Linked DNA regions of Notamacropus eugenii. The protein of the gene in region 2 purifies or fractionates together with the protein of the main gene of each other region. This does not show direct contact. Links are inferred from orthologs where the notes say so. Each region holds a gene or a part of one and is shown on either strand. Other genes may lie near its edges. The genes, in order: OTUD5 and SLC7A11.

Evidence for each region.
Region 1: the proteins of SLC7A11 (region 2) and OTUD5 purify together in Homo sapiens (affinity purification with western blotting; 3 studies listed by BioGRID, with this or other methods). This does not show direct contact. The link is inferred for Notamacropus eugenii from reciprocal best matches to the Homo sapiens genes SLC7A11 and OTUD5.

What each region holds. Positions count from the first base shown.
Region 1 is NC_092879.1:102,138,271-102,145,503, forward strand, and holds the start of OTUD5 (OTU domain-containing protein 5), read right to left. Parts: upstream 3,213-7,233; 5' UTR 3,081-3,212; coding exon 2,496-3,080; intron 1-2,495. Other genes in the region: A-type voltage-gated potassium channel KCND1, read right to left, coding at 5,972-6,233, 6,543-6,808, 7,082-7,180. UniProt on the Homo sapiens protein: Deubiquitinating enzyme that functions as a negative regulator of the innate immune system. Has peptidase activity towards 'Lys-48'- and 'Lys-63'-linked polyubiquitin chains. Can also cleave 'Lys-11'-linked ubiquitin chains (in vitro).
Region 2 is NC_092877.1:134,703,022-134,710,925, reverse strand, and holds the start of SLC7A11 (cystine/glutamate transporter), read left to right. Parts: upstream 1-4,665; 5' UTR 4,666-4,790; intron 4,791-5,225; 5' UTR 5,226-5,234; coding exon 5,235-5,511; intron 5,512-7,904. UniProt on the Homo sapiens protein: Heterodimer with SLC3A2, that functions as an antiporter by mediating the exchange of extracellular anionic L-cystine and intracellular L-glutamate across the cellular plasma membrane.

The DNA.
Region 1 (7,233 bases), on a different chromosome or scaffold from region 2:
GCCTCTGTGACCCAACTGTGGTCAGTCAGAGCTTTGAAGATGGCAAAGGGAGAGAACTGGGGATCTGCCATCTCCCATGAGGCCCTAAGCTACAACCCAAATAGCCTACAATATAGGAAGCATCCCAACTCCTGGGAGACCCTGACCAGTGACCAAGGTGCTGCAGAGCTGTGTGTGGGTGCTGGGCATGTGGTATGACAGCCACAGACAAGTGTCTTGGCCCTGCATTGCTGCTTAGCAAAGAGGAGAGCCATGTAGGCCCTGGGCACAGCAGTCCAAGTGGGCAAGCCAACTTCTTTCCCCCGTGGGGGTACTTTTGGTGAAGTGAGAGGGTAGGGGGCACAGACATGTACACTGGCCGGTGTGAAGCATCGCCCTCCCCCTACACCCTGCTGACACCTGGTATCTGGCACAAGAAAAAAAAAAGTCCAGTGTCCCCAGAAGTCGTTGGTTGGGCTCTGGGCCAGGCCTGGACGTGGGCGAAGGGCACCAAGAGCAGTTAGCTTCAGGGTACTTGCCCCCCCCCCCCCTTTCCTTTGCCCACAGTGGCCTTGCAGGCAGTGAAGGTGAGAAGCCCACTCGGGAGGCCGGAAGCAGTCCTTGCTAGGTGACCAGAACTTGCTCAGGGAGGGAGAATGGAACAGAGAATCCAAGTTGGGGAGGGGTGCTTCTCCAACAAGGCAAATGGTTCCTCTTAGTCCCTGGAGCTCCTCTCCTGCCTTTCTTCTTACATCCTTGTACCCCTCTGCCACCCCACACCCAAAGGCCAGGCAGCAAACTTGGGCCCAGTCCTGACCCAGGACAAAAGCCCCCACAGGGAAGGAGCAAGCAGTTACAAAGCACCTACTAAGTACCAAGCGCTCTGGAGACCAGAGGATCTTCAGAATCATTCTAGGAGGTAGATATTATTATCATCCCCATTTTACAGAGAAACTGAGACGGACACAAGTCCAGCACAAAAGAAGTCTTGCCTGAATCATCTGATGCTGGATTCTAGTTTTTTGGGTCTTGTGCTCTGTGCACTGGACCAGTTACAACTAAAAGGGGGCCCCAACTCCTCCGTTCCCCCAAAGAAGTAGCTCAGGAAAGAAAAGTTTCCTCAAATTCAGCTGACAAGTAGAAATCCTGGGCCTCAGGGCACTCCCAGTGGAGCCTCTCTCTTCTTAAACACCTTAGTCCCCCCCTCCCCCTTCTCAGTCCCCCAACAGAAAGGAGATGCACCAGCTCTCTCCCAAGATATCTTGGCCAGCTGTGCTGAAGGTGCGCATTTTAGGGTTGCCCCAACTTGCTGGTCAGCAGGTCCTTGGGGCCCCCCATGGCCTTCTCCAGCATGCAAATGTTCACCTGAAGGCCTGGCCATCCATATGCATGGGAGTCAGGCTTCCTTAAGTCTGGGTTCTTGGCAGGAGAGACTCAAAGCAGCTCCCGGACTATGGAAGGTTTCTCCAGGAGTACTAGCTAAGAATTCTGGAGACTTTAAAGAGCTGGGCAAGGCCACAGAGGCACTAACAGGACTCGGAGCCAGGTCACCCTGACATCTGCTTCATCCTCATCTCTCAGACAAGGAGTGCACTGGAAATGGAAGAACAGAGTTCTGCCAGCCAGTCCTGTCCTCAGGAGCCTCCAAAATAGTGGAGAAGATACAGGACAGCACCTATGCCCATCGCTGAGGTCCAGAAGGACTACAGAGACCCAGTAGCCTCCAGCCACCATTCTCCCCTTTCCCTGCTTGGCCTGAAGAATCATGGGAAGAGAAGGGGAACCAGGAAGGAATAGGGGAAGGTAGGTAGGCAGGAAAAGGTCCTGGAGAAAGAGGAAGAAAAGAGGAGCACTTTTGGGGAGAAAAATTACAAAAGAAAGCAGAAACAGGGCTCCATGGGGGAACGAGAAGGAAAGATGGGGTAAGAAAAGCGAGGGTGGGGGGATCAGAAATAGAATAAAAGCAGGGGGGTCTCCAGGGATTGGGGGGCATGCCCCAAGGAGTAAGAAAATCAAGGGGGGGGCAAAGGAAAGAGGCAAGAAAAGCAGCAACGGGGGGCTGGGGATCAAGAAAATGGGGTGAGGGCAGGATAGGGCAAAGGGTGAAAAAAGCTGGGGGGGGAACCAAGAATGAATAAGAGCAGGGGGGCAAGGACGGAATCAGAAAAGCCAGGAGACTCTAGAATGGGGGGGTAAGGGATTAAAAATCAGAGGGCTGGGGCCTAGGAAAGAAAGGGTAAAATTCGAAAAGCGGGGGGAAAGGGGAGCGCAGGGAAGTAACAAGGAATCCGAAAAGGCCCGAGGTGGGGGGGGGGGGGCAGGCATGGCGTAAGAAGGGAGCAGAGGTGGCCCGAGAAGAAAAGATGGAGCGAGCCAAGACCCGGAAGCAGGACCGAGACGGTGGGGGGGGGCGGGGGGGGGGGCGCTTGGGCCTCATAAACTCCCCACCGGATCGAACAAAGAGGAGAGGGCCGGGCAAACGATCGAAGACGCGGGGGCCCCTCCCCGGGCCATACCTGCTCCACCGTGGCCGGGTCCATAGCCTCCACCCGGGCCGCCGCCGTGTCGTACTCGTCCTCGCTGTTGTAGCCCGCGCCGCCTTCGTCCCGCTCGGGGCTGCCCCCCGCGCCCGAGCCCACGCCGCCGACGCCACCGCCCGGAGGCCCGCCGGGGTTGCCGCAGGGGCCTGCCTGCTGCCGCCGCCTCTTGCTGTGGCCCGGGCCCGAGCAGCAGCCGCCGCCGGGGCCGCCGCCGGGGCCGCCCACGGCGCCCAGGCCCAGCCCCAGGCCGAGAGCGTCGGCGGCCCCGGCTGAGGCCGGCCCCCCGGGGCCCGGGGGCGGCGGCGAGGCCTGCGGCCGGGAAGCCGCGGAGCCCGCGCCCGAGGCCCATCGCGCCAGCGGCGGCGGCGAGGCACGCGAGCGGCCGCCCGAAGACGGCCCGGCGCCCGGAACGCCCTCGCCACCGCCCGGGCCGCCGGGTCCACCGCCGCCCGGGCCGCCGGGCCCGCCGCCAGGCTCGCCGTCCGGGCCGGAGTCGGCGTCCGAGCCGGCGGGCGGCGGCCCGGGCGGCGGCGGCGGCTTCTTCTTGGGGAGGATGGTCATGGCGCCGGCGGGCGCACGCTCGGCCTGGGCCGGAGCTTGCGGCTCAGCGGCTCCGGCTCCGACGCCCCCTCAGGGCCGCCGGGGCCGGGCCGGAGCCAGGCCGGGCCGGGGGCCGGGGGCTGGGGAGCCGACGGGCCCCGCGGAGCTGTAGCGGCGAACGGGCCCCCTCCTCTTCCTGGCCGCCGCTGCCTGGGCCGGGAGCGGAAGGAACTGGAGGCGGCGGCGGGAAAGGCAGGGCACGGAAGGGAAGGAAAGGAAAGGAAGGGCAAGGCCAGGCGAGCGGAGGCCGGAAAAGAGCCGGCGGACCCCGGGAAACTGAAGGGAGAAGGGGCGGAGCGAGGGCCCTAGGACCCGGATGAGGAGGGGCGGGGCCCGGCGCAGGCCCCGGATGGGGAGGGGGCAGAGGCGAGGCGAGGCGAGCCCAAGGGGAGGGGGCTACCCGGGGAGCGAACCCTGGCAAGGGTAAGGCCCTGTCCGCTGCGTGCCGCGAGCTGAGCGCGCGAGTCGGGGACCGACTGGTCGGCACAAGAGGCTAAGGAGGGGGGCGGGGCGCGAGCCCCGCAACCGCCGCTGGCTTTTCCTCTTCCTCTCACTCCCGACTCCCGGGGCTGCAGGCCCCGCCCCGCTCCACCAGGTGACTGACAAAAACAAACACCCCGACGCGGCGGGCCAGCCCCCGCGGGGCGCGCAGACGCACTTGACCGCGGAGGAGAGCCTGGCCCCCTCCCTTTCCACTCTGCCCCGCCCCCGTCGAGGATGGCGGGCAGTGTACCCGGAGGGGTGAGCTAAGTCCGGACCTCGTGTTCCCGTCTCGGAGAGCGGCGGAGGGCACGAAGGCCTTTGCGACTTCCCCGGCCGAGGGCCTGAGAGAAGGCGCAGTGGGAGGAAAGAGCAATCGCTCCACGGGCGCCTGCTCCTCCTCGTTTGGCGACTTGCCACAGCGCGTCTCCTACGAGCCCCCGCGCCGTCACTTCCGCCCCATGCCGCCGCCCTTCCCCTCCTGTCAATCACCCCAGCCCTCCTCCCCTTTCCCCCCTCCCCGCCAATCTCCCCCGCCGAGACGCGCGGGCCGGGGCATTCGGCTCTCCTAACCCTCTCATTGCTCAACCTTGGCTGTCAGTCAAACGAGAAACTCGCCCCGCCTCCGCCCGTTCCCCTTCCTCCATCCCATGCGCGCACAGCCATCTTTGGCATTCCGCGGTCCATGCTGCCGCCTACTGGTAGCCGAGGTCTCTGTCCTGCGACCTGGCCCGTCCTCACCCCCGCCCCACCTCGCACTCCGGGGACTGCGGGCTTTTCTCTTGGTCCATATCCCCTCCCCACCCGAAATGCTGCCTCGGCCACCATGATGTTAATACCCGCTCCCTTCAGGTCGGACTGGGCGCCTACCCCATCTTGGGTGCCAGTCAGCCTTGACTTTGCTTTGGTGGCCAGAACTTCCCTCCGCGTCCCCCTTGAAAAGCTCAGGCACCTCTGGGGGTTCACAAAACCACCCTCATTTCCTCGCCGAACTTTCTACAGTTGGCTCCGCCTCCCAGACCTCTCTCTGGGTGGATCAGCAAGGACATTTCGGTTCGTGCTTTCCCACCATCCCCTGGGGCAGGCTAGGTAGCCCACGCTGGAATGGCAGGGGAAGCAGAGATCAGACCCATCTCCCAGATAACCAAGTTGAGACCCAGATTGGGAAAGAAGGTGGTTGGTGGAACCCAACTCAAGTCCTTTCTGATGTCACCTCCAGTTCAGCACCCCGTATTGCTCCAACCCCCACCCCCCCATCCCCCACTTGTGGGCCAAGGTCTCCTTTGGTTTGTTGTGTGGGTTTTTATTGGTTTAAACTGCATCCAGTAGGGCACTGGCTTCAAGCATGGGGCAGGTGGGAAAACCTGAGACGTGCCAGGAGAGAGGCAAGCAGGTAGGCAGGCAGAGAAGCCCAGCTGATGGAGGGGATCTAGAAGGGAAACTGAGGCAGGCTCTAAGAGCTCTGCAGCTACTGAGGAGAGACCCTAAAGCACCTCCTCCTCCTGGCCTGCTGCCCTTAGTTATCTCACAAGAATTCAGCTGGATCTCAAGGGCATCAAACAGCTAGGCTGAGAGCTATTGCTTCCTATGTCATTGGGGGGGTCACCAGAAGGTCAGATGTTTGGGAGCTGAGCCCCTGCAGGTGCCTTTCTGCTCTTCTCTCCATACTGAGGATGAGATGAGGAGGTAGGGGGAGACTCCCCCTCACTGTCCCACTCAGTCACCTGTCCTCCAGATGGAGAAGGGAAATCTCTCTGGACATTCACCAAGGACACAGCAGTCTGGTAACATTGCCCAGGGTGAAGCTCTGAGGAGACAGCTGAGGAGGAGGGGCAGGAGACAGAGACCACATCTCTCAGTCAGCCTCTGCTAGCCTACATGGTGATATCCTCCAGATGTGCTAAGCAAGCACACTTGCCCCTCCCAAGATACCTGGGTCCACCTGCCACCATTTCAGCAGGTGAAAGATCCCAGAGACAAAGGATGGAGAACATATAGGCCAAGACCTGAATCCACCCTGACAACCAGGTTCCTTTCCTGGTCTGTGACAGGTCCCAAGAATAGGACTCACCCTCTGGCTTCCCAGCTACTGATGTCCATGTCTCTAGAGAACAGAGAAGAGGGGACACGAGCGGAGCTTTGGTTCTCCATTCCTCCCCCCCCCACACACACACATACATACTCCATTGCACTACAAGATTGTCCTGTTCAGGGGCAGTGGAGATCACAGGGGCTGAGATGCCGCCCCCCCCCCCAGTGTGCCCCTCATCTTCCTCACACTTTGCCCCATCCAAATATGGCTTTGAAAACAAAACAGGGAGACACCCAAGGTGGGGAACCAATGCCCCAAAGGAGGGGTGAAGCCCCCTCAATCACAGGGAGGAGATTTTGACAGTGTTGTGAGGAATATCAGAAGGGCCCAGGCTGGAGTTTTGGACAGCCCCCCTGTTACTGCTGCTGCCCCCAGAGGGTCTTCCAGGCCCCTTCCCACTGTCACTGGCAGGCGAATGTGGTTGGCTCTCATCTGGGGTGTTTGCTGGGGGGGTGGGGATGCTGATGATGGCTGCCACCAGGTCCTGACTGTCACAATTCAGAGTCAGGCTGTCATGAGTCTTGGCATTGAGGCTGGCTCGGCTGGTGGATGGAAGCAGAAAGGGAGAGAGGGTCTTGGGGTAGGATCCAAGATCCACCACCTTGGGTGAGGCAGTCTAACCCATAAGCCTCAATTTCCTTATCCATAAAATGGGAGACTGAATGATAACTGAGATTCCTTCCAGGGTAAATGTCTTGAGTCCCTGGGCTGTGAAAGGGCGCGCCATTGCACGCTGCCCTCTAAAATCTTATCTTAGTGGGATTGCATTCAGCTTTATCTGCACCTGTGGCACCTAGGGCCCCCTACCCAAATCTTCGCTTCCTGGCCCCAAGTAATGGAGGCCACATTACCTCTGGGGTCCTGGGCTATGGTGCCCAGCGAGAGTGTCCAGCTCCTGCATACTGCCTCGGCTGACAGAGGCAGTGGAGTTGGCCAAGCGAATGGCCCGGCGCTGCTTGGTCCGTCGGGGGCAGCAGGAAGAGATCAGACTGCTAGTCCGAGCGCTGGTTCCCATGACAGCCTGGGAAGACACAGAGGTGCTGCGGCTGGTGCGGCCACCCAGGGAAATGACTCCCAGTGCTTCACTGAAGGTAGACTCATCTGTGAACTCATGTGACTGGGGGGAGAGAAGAGACGTAGAGAGAGAGAGAGAGAGAGAGAGAGAGAGAGAGAGAGAGAGAGAGAGAGAGAGAGAGAGGAGAGTTAGCATCAGGGGGTATTTAGAGCCTTAGGGGAACAAGCAATGGCAGGCAGGACCCAAAGGAGGAGGGAGCACAGACAGGGAGGCCAAGAGCCTGAGCAGGGCACAAAGAAAGGACTCAGGATTCCAGAGATGGCTTTTGGGCAATGGGAAGGGGTCAGCAGGGAGACAGAGAGAGAAGGATCTCACTGTGGTCTTCTCCAGACAGTGCAAAAGATGATGGTGCTGCTGTTCAAAAGCTGAGCGGCTTCGTGTGCTCAGTGCTGGCTGTTCGGCCCCATCTTGGTCCTAGGGCGCACAGGCAGAGCATCAGGTGAGCCACCTCAGCAGCAAAGCCCTAT
Region 2 (7,904 bases):
TTCACTGCCCCATCTAATTATCATCATCATAATAATGTAATAATACAGTGTGCTAAGGTTTTTAAAGCACTTTGGATATTATCTAAAGAAGTAAAAAAAAAAATTAAGAAAATGCAAAGTTGAAGGCTGAAGGAATCCCCATTAAGGGCTACTACCCTGAGAGGTCCCACCTGAGATAACTTGTAATCCCTAAAAAAGAATTGCTGCTACCACCACCTGGACATTTATATAGCATGTTTAAATTTTCCAAAGCATTTGAATACTGTTATATGATATAAACCTTATGACAAACCTTCAAGATAGTATTTTCCAAACAGCATAATATATATTTTATAGATAAAAAAATGGTTCATAGAAATTAATTGGCTTGCCTAGGCAAGTATTCAAAGCAGGGATGAAAAGTATAGAACAAAACGGACCTTCTTCTGGTTCTATGAAACTCCACCAATATTTGAAAATAGCCATCACTGATACCTCAATAAGACTCATTGCTGTTTTATATCAATGTCAGATTACTCAAAATCTGGTCCATTTCCACTGAGGAAGAGGATTCCTCTTCCTATGTCAATCTCAACATTCCAAAACATATTTTTGAAAAATTTCCAAATTCCTCTTCTATTACTCCCATTAACCTGTGGAATTGTGCCACATAGTGCAGTCTGGCAGAAGAAGATGAGGCAGCTTTCCATTATACTTGTAGGTGAAACTTTCCATATGTGTTGTCTCCCCCATTACAATGTGAGCTCCTTGAAAGTAGGGACTGTATTACGTTACTATTCATATGTCCAGCACTTGGCATAGTGCTTTTCACATAGTGAGTTCTTCGTAAGGTCTTTTTTCATTCATTCATTCATTCGTTCGTTCGTTCGTTCGTTAGTTCATTCATCCATCCATCCATCCATCCATTCACTAGATATGAGGGTGCCAGTTTCCAGACTACACCAGGAAGGAAGTACATTTACATAGGATAGAGCCCCAATCTCTATACCCTAATTATGGTTGCTCAGTTTCCACACCAGGATTCTTCCTTTTCTGTCAATTGATAAACATTTGTTGATCCCCTCTTACATACCAGGCACTGTGTTAAGTGCATGAAACCTGGAGGAGTAACACTTATAGTCTGATTTTGTAGGTGGGTGGAAGGAGTCATGGTAGACGACTGCCATTAGAATCTTTGTCTAAAGTTCTGTTTTAGTGGACATTCATTTGTCCTCACTTGCCCATTTTCCTCTTGTATAGCTCTAATTGTTGAGAAGTTGGGTTTGTTTGTTCTTTGCTGATATCAAGCCTAAATTACCTCTTTGCAGCATTTATCCAACATTCTTGATTCTTGCATCTGAGATGCAGAGATTTCCAAGCCTTAGAGTTTTAAAAAAATGCCAGGTTTTGCTGTTGTATTTTTGACGTTGATTGATGGTTGATGGTCCATATATTAATGACGAATTAATCTTCTCAAAGGAATTTAGGCCAGAAGAGTTTGCAAAGTATGGAAGCAATGAAAACCTGAACTAATTCCTGGGCTACGTAAGGAAAACAGAGGCTTTTCCTTATAGAGAAAAGGGAATGGGGTTTAGACTGAGATGATCTGCATTTGAATACTGACTCTGGTGCTGAATGTTCAACACCTTGGCTACTATCTCTCTCTGAAACTCAGTTTCCACATCTGTAATGTGGAGTCAACTAGGTGGAACAGTGGATAGAGCTCTGACTCTGGACTCAGGAAGATCTGAGTTCAAAATCTGACCTCAAACACTTGCTAGTTGTGACCCTGGGCAAGTCACTTAACTTCTGCCTGCCTCAGTTTCCTTATCTGTAAAATGAGGATAATCATAGCATCTACCTTCCAGGGTTATTGTGAGGATCAGATGAAAGAATCATTGTAAAGGGCTTAGCAACAGTGCCTGGAACATACAGAGCAAGTACTTTATAAACGTTGTTATCATTATTATTAAAGGAGGGGTTTGGACAACATACTCTATATGAAAAAGATCTTCCTAAAATTCAGAACTATCTAAAAATGTGATAGGTCACCTCAAGAGTGGTGGGTTCTCCATCACTGGAGGCCTTCAAGAAGAAGCTGAATGATAACATTTTAGGTATGATAAAGAGGAAATTCTTGTACTGGTATGGGTTGACCAGATGAGATCCATTTCAATTCTTACATTGACTGGTGAATAGTATATTGGGCCTGGACTCTGAAAGACTAGGGTTTGAATCCTGCTTGTGGCACTTAGTAACTGGATTACCTTGGGCAAGTCAGTCCCCCTCTTGGAAACTCAGTTTCCCCTTTAGTGAAATGGGGCTAATGATACTCATAGTTCTGAGCTCAACTGGTTATTGCAAGATCCAAAGGAAATAATTTCTGTAAGACTTTGGTGTTTTTGCAAATCTTTTAAAAGTGTTTATGAAAAGTTATATAGTCATTTGTTGTTACTGAGATAGTCCCCTGCAGTTCTAAGTAATCTGAGCCTATGGAACTCTCTTGGGCATCTCTATGTAACACTCCAGAGGATAACTGGACAGAAGAGGGGCTGAGTGTTCTAGGACTATTGCTTGGCTTTCTCCAGCCGTCTCACTTCTCCCCTGACCTTCACACCTGTCTGACAGCTCCTCAAGCTGGTTAAGTGATAAGAGCAGAGGGATGATAATAACTTCTTCCCATTCTGGAATCCCAAACCACAGGTAACAGCAGCCAATCACTGACCTACAAGCTTGGCACCAGTTTCAGAGGCTGTTTGTTGGTAGAGGGAGATAGAGGGCTTGAAAGACCTTGCCACTTTTTAATGTTTCTTTCTGTTGAAATTCAGGGTGCCGGGGACCCCAAAATACCGATACACTGGGTCCTGTCGAATGAATTCAACTTAAGCTTTCTTTCAGTCAAAGTAAAATAAAATTTATTGAAGATTCACCATATTAGGTTGACTGTTAAGGAGTCTAACCATTTGTAATGCTGTATACAATCTGAGCTAGATTGATCCTGATTTAGATTGAATCTGAGTGCCTTCATGGAGGCAAGATGGAGCCTATATACAGAAAGACTATGGGAGGAATCTGGAGATGTCTAGTAGTCTGGGGGTTCCAGGGATGGTCCTGATTGGGGTGGTCAGCCTGGAATGTCTAGAGGTATGATCTTGATCGGAATGACCAGAATAGAGGTCAAATCTAGGCAGGATCTTGATGGGAGTGACCAGTACCCTGGGGTGACTAAACATTAAATCTAGAGGATCTTGATGGGAGTACAAAGTAGCCTGGAGAATAGGATTTTGATAGGATAAAGGTGGAGAGTAAAACAGAGATCTGGGCATGGTGATAATGAAAAACTTATGGTCCTCAGAGAATGCCAGATCAAATATGAGGAATTCAAGGAGCCCTCGGGGTGAGGCCCTCCAGGGTCCCCTAGACAAATGGGACCAAAACTCCTCTGGGCCAAGAGACAAAGATCTCAGCTTGGGCTTGTACCCTGTCATTTCCGTGTGAATTTTTTTTTTTTAAATCAAAGCAAATTCTGAAAATCTGATTATAACTTTCTCCACCCTGACCTCCTCACAATACACTTAGTAGTTGTGGGCAAGTTGGTACCCCTCTTGGAAAGTTTTCTCATCTGTGAAATGGGACTGAAAATACTTGTAGTTCTGATCTCAGAGGAGTATTGCAAAACCCAAAAGGATACAATGGATATAGAGAATTCCAAACACCTTCCACTAAGGAAAGTCTACAACTGAGCAGTGAGTTGATTTGCTTAAGGTAATAACATTTTATGCAGCAGCCTAAACTTGAACCTAAGTCTCTTTTCCCCCCTCAATTTTCTTATCTGTATAATGAGATGGAGAAGGAAATGGCAAGCCACTCCAAGGTCTTTTCCAAGAAAACCCCAAATAGGATCGGGAAGATTCTGACAGGACTGAAATGACTGAACAACCACAAAGCAGTAGTCTTTGCAGCCTCTACAACTAACTTCAGGGAACAAAAATGCCCTGAGGGATGTCAATTTCAGCAAAAATAATTCTCTTTAGGAAATCACCAAGTAACTTGGAAATCTGAGAATGATTCTCGTTGGGGTAACTGTGGTTTTTAAACGTAGTCATATTCTCGTGGATCACACCTTCGCAAGGCGAAAATGTAAGTGTATTGTCAGAGCAAAATGAAAAAATCCCTCCCTTCCCTCAGTATGAGCCACAATCCCCTTCAAGAAGAAGAAGGTGCGGAAAAACTCTCTCTCTCCCTCTCTCCCTCTCACTCTCTCTCCCTCTCTCCCTCTCTCTCTCTGTCTCTCTCTCTCCCCACCTACAAGATAGATTTGCTTATGTTGCTAGGCAACCAAAAGTTTTCTTTTCTTTCTTTTTTTTTTTTTTAAGGAAGTAAAAAAAAGGTGTGCATGGGGGGTCGCACTTTGGGTGACTAATGCAGCTTGATGTTCCCTTCAACTTTTGGCTGCTTCATGAAAGAGGTGTGGGTGCGTGCGTGTGCATGGGGAAGGGAGGGGTGGCGATCCCAGATAAAAATGAAGTAGATGTTTCCTGTTTGGTGTTTCATTTTCTTTCTGTTTGAGGAGCCTTGGGGCCTCCCTGAGTGTTACTCTCCACCTCTGGGAGGGTCTCTGTGGGTTTCCTCCCTCTGGATTGGCTCCTGAGGCCTTTTAAGTGAAGGCTTTGTTCTCTGCAAAGCGCAGGTCAGTTGGGCTACACGCTGCCACTGTTTGGGGAAAGGAGAAAAAAAAGAGCTGAGTAATGCTGAAGCCTTCTCCTGTGGCTGATGCAAACCTGGAGAATTTGCATCATCACTGAGCTGGAGTGAGTTGGTGTGACAGAAGCTTAAATACGGGCGCTGGAGGGAGCTGAGCTAGGTTCTAATGACAGGGCAGTAGCAGCAGCAGCGAGGGGCAGAACGGAAGGGTCCGGGCTGCCATGGGAAAGGCACAGGTGCTCTGGAGGAGGCATTAGGGAGGCGGGAAGCGTAAAACACACCTTTTGAAGGTCCATACCTGTGAACCCTAGAGCAGCGTGAAAGGCTACCAGGACAGGAAAACAGTTCGAACTCAGTCTGATCAGGGAGACCAGACCTTGTTTTCAAAGTTTTTCTCCTCCTGCTTCTCGCCTTTCTCGTTCTCCTGGTCCTCCTCTTCCTCCTCATCTTTCTTCTTTTCCTCTCCTTCCTTCTTCTCGTCTTTCTCTCTTTTTCTGTATTTTTTGCTTTTTGCTTTTTATTTTTCCCCTTGAGTTTGGCAGAATCCCACTATGGTCAAGAAGCCAGTGATGCCCTCCATTTCCAATGGAGACTACCTCCAGGGGGATGCTCAAGGTCACTTGACCTCCAGGGGCAGCAAAGAGGCCCCCGAGCAGGCTAAGATGGTGCTGAAGAAAAAAATCACGCTGCTGAGGGGCATCTCCATCATCATTGGCACTATCATCGGGGCTGGCATCTTCATCTCCCCCAAAGGAGTTCTCCAAAACACGGGCACCGTAGGCATGTCTCTGATCGTCTGGACGGTCTGTGGGCTCGTGTCTCTGTTTGGTGAGTTTATGTTTAAAATTGGAGTCCCTTGAGGGTATGTGTGTGGGAGGCTGCTACTGGGCATGCAGCTTGGCATGCTGATTTGGGAGGTGAGTGGCTGGTCTGCTAGTAGAATTAGAGTAGAAGTAGAGGAGAGTGGTAATGAGGAGAAATCATTCAAGTCATCTAGGAGTTTCTGGATGACTTGAATAGTCCCCTCTTTTCCTTCCCCAACCTCCTTTATTTCCCTTTCCTGATGAAGAGAAAATCTTTTCATTTCTTTATAGTGATGGAAATAAGCACTCATTTTTATTGCCTATAAAAAGGCAAGCACTGGACATTTGTGCTTGTCTGGGCAATGCTAGGGCTGAGCCCCTGAAGCCTCTGTGAATTGTAAAATCTGGTTGGCCTAGTTACATTCAGTGCTGAGTTGTCCAACAGTTTTCCTGACTTCTTATTGGTGAAACAAATGGTAAGGCAGTGCTTTTCCTTAAAACACTAACACAGACACACAAACAGACATACACACAGACACACACCCCACCTTCATGGGCCTGACTTTTCCGTGTGAGCCACTGAACTGTAGAAAGATATGGCAGGACATACCATGAGGAATTCTGCCCTTGCATCAGTCAAGGATATGATTAGTATGTTATAACTTTTCATATCCAACCTCCTCCCACCTCAATTATCTTCTGCTTAAATATTGAGCTTGGTTGGGTGCGGGTCTAAGCAGTTTATTCAGTCATTTTTTTCACTTGTGCCAGTTTGTTGACGTCCTAAAGTTTGATAAGATGTCCTCAGAGAAACTTAATGAACCTGGAAAAGAAGCTTCCTCCCCCAATTCAGATGGCTGCATTAAAAGCCTATTTAAAGAATAATGGACAACACCAAAAGATACCTACTCAAGACTCAAACAAAAAAAAGTATCATTCAGAGTTTTTGTTAAATGTCAGGCCCCTACAGTTATCTGTGGCCTAAATGATGAGCTAGGTTGGATGGGAGTCTAAGGGGTATACCCAAGCCTCATTTTCTTCCCCTGTGTCCATCTGTTGTTCCAAAGAGTTTGGTGACAAGATTACCTTAGTGAAACTCAATGAAATTGTTCCAAATTTTAATTAAGTGTCAGATCCATACAGTGTCATCTGTATTGGTCCAGTACATGAGGCAGTACCAGTTAATCATCTGACCAGGAATAGAAAGCTAAATCTACCCATTTTAAGCAAGGTAAGTCCTAAATAAGCTTGTTTAAGGATCAAGGAGAGTATATTCTGATTCCGGAAGATTCAGAAGAAAGATCACTTGGAAGTAGAGTCAGAAAACATGGCTCCTAGTACTACGCATGTGGTCTTGGGGAAGCTACTTGACTTCCTTTGGGCCTCAGTTTTCCTAATCTTTAAAAGAAGGGAGTTAGACTAGATCAGGGGGTGGGGAACCTGTGGCCTTGGACCACCTATCGATTTCTAGGTCCTTTGGTGGCCAGCCTTTTGACTGAGTCTAAGTTTTACAGTTTTACTAAAGGGATTTATTCTGTAAAGTTTGGATTCAGTCCAAGGGCCACATTTGAGGACCTAGAGGGCCACATGTGGCCTGGAGGTCTCAGGTTTCCCACCCCTGCACTAGATGATCTCTAAGGTCCCTTCTAGCTTTGACTTTGATCCTGTGAAGGTTCTGACCTTACCACTACAAAGCAGTTATTCTGTCTTAGAATAAACGCTAAGTCAATTTTCTTAGGGTTTTCCTGACTCATTCATATTTTTTCTGGACTCTCAAATATCTCATTCCAATGATTTTTCTATTCAACTTCAGAACTCGAGTTACATTATAAGGAAATTTACATAGATGTAAAACCAGTTGACTGGATCCATAGCTCTGCCATTAAACCAAGGAGTGGAGTCTTCTAGGACAAATTTATAAAGAGTTAGGTTTCCTTTCTCTTCCTTGCTTACTTCTTCCTACCAGCTAGTCTTTTACCTTACCATTAGTTTCATTTATTTTTCTTTTGGTCTGGAACTGTGACTTTTGCATTGTAAGCAGTTTTTGCTGGGGAAACTCTACCAATTCAAATCAGCCACTTGTGATCTCATGGCTTTGTCTGAGATGCTGAAGTTAAGTGACTTGACCATGGTCACAGGGTCACCACAGCAGTATATTAGAGGAAGAATTTCAGGCCAGGTCTCTCAGCCTCCAAGGGCAGTTCTCTTTCTATTACAGCCTGTCTATCTCAGTGGTGGTTCCAACATATCATTTTTACTGACACAATTGTATTCTATCTTTGTGGATGACCAGGATAGATTTGAACTGATGATTCTGATGACTTTACTAAAGAGTATAAAATCTTTGAAACAGTATACTATGTCAAATGGTTCCATGCTATGTCTTTATAGATCATAAGATCAAGAACTATTATCAAT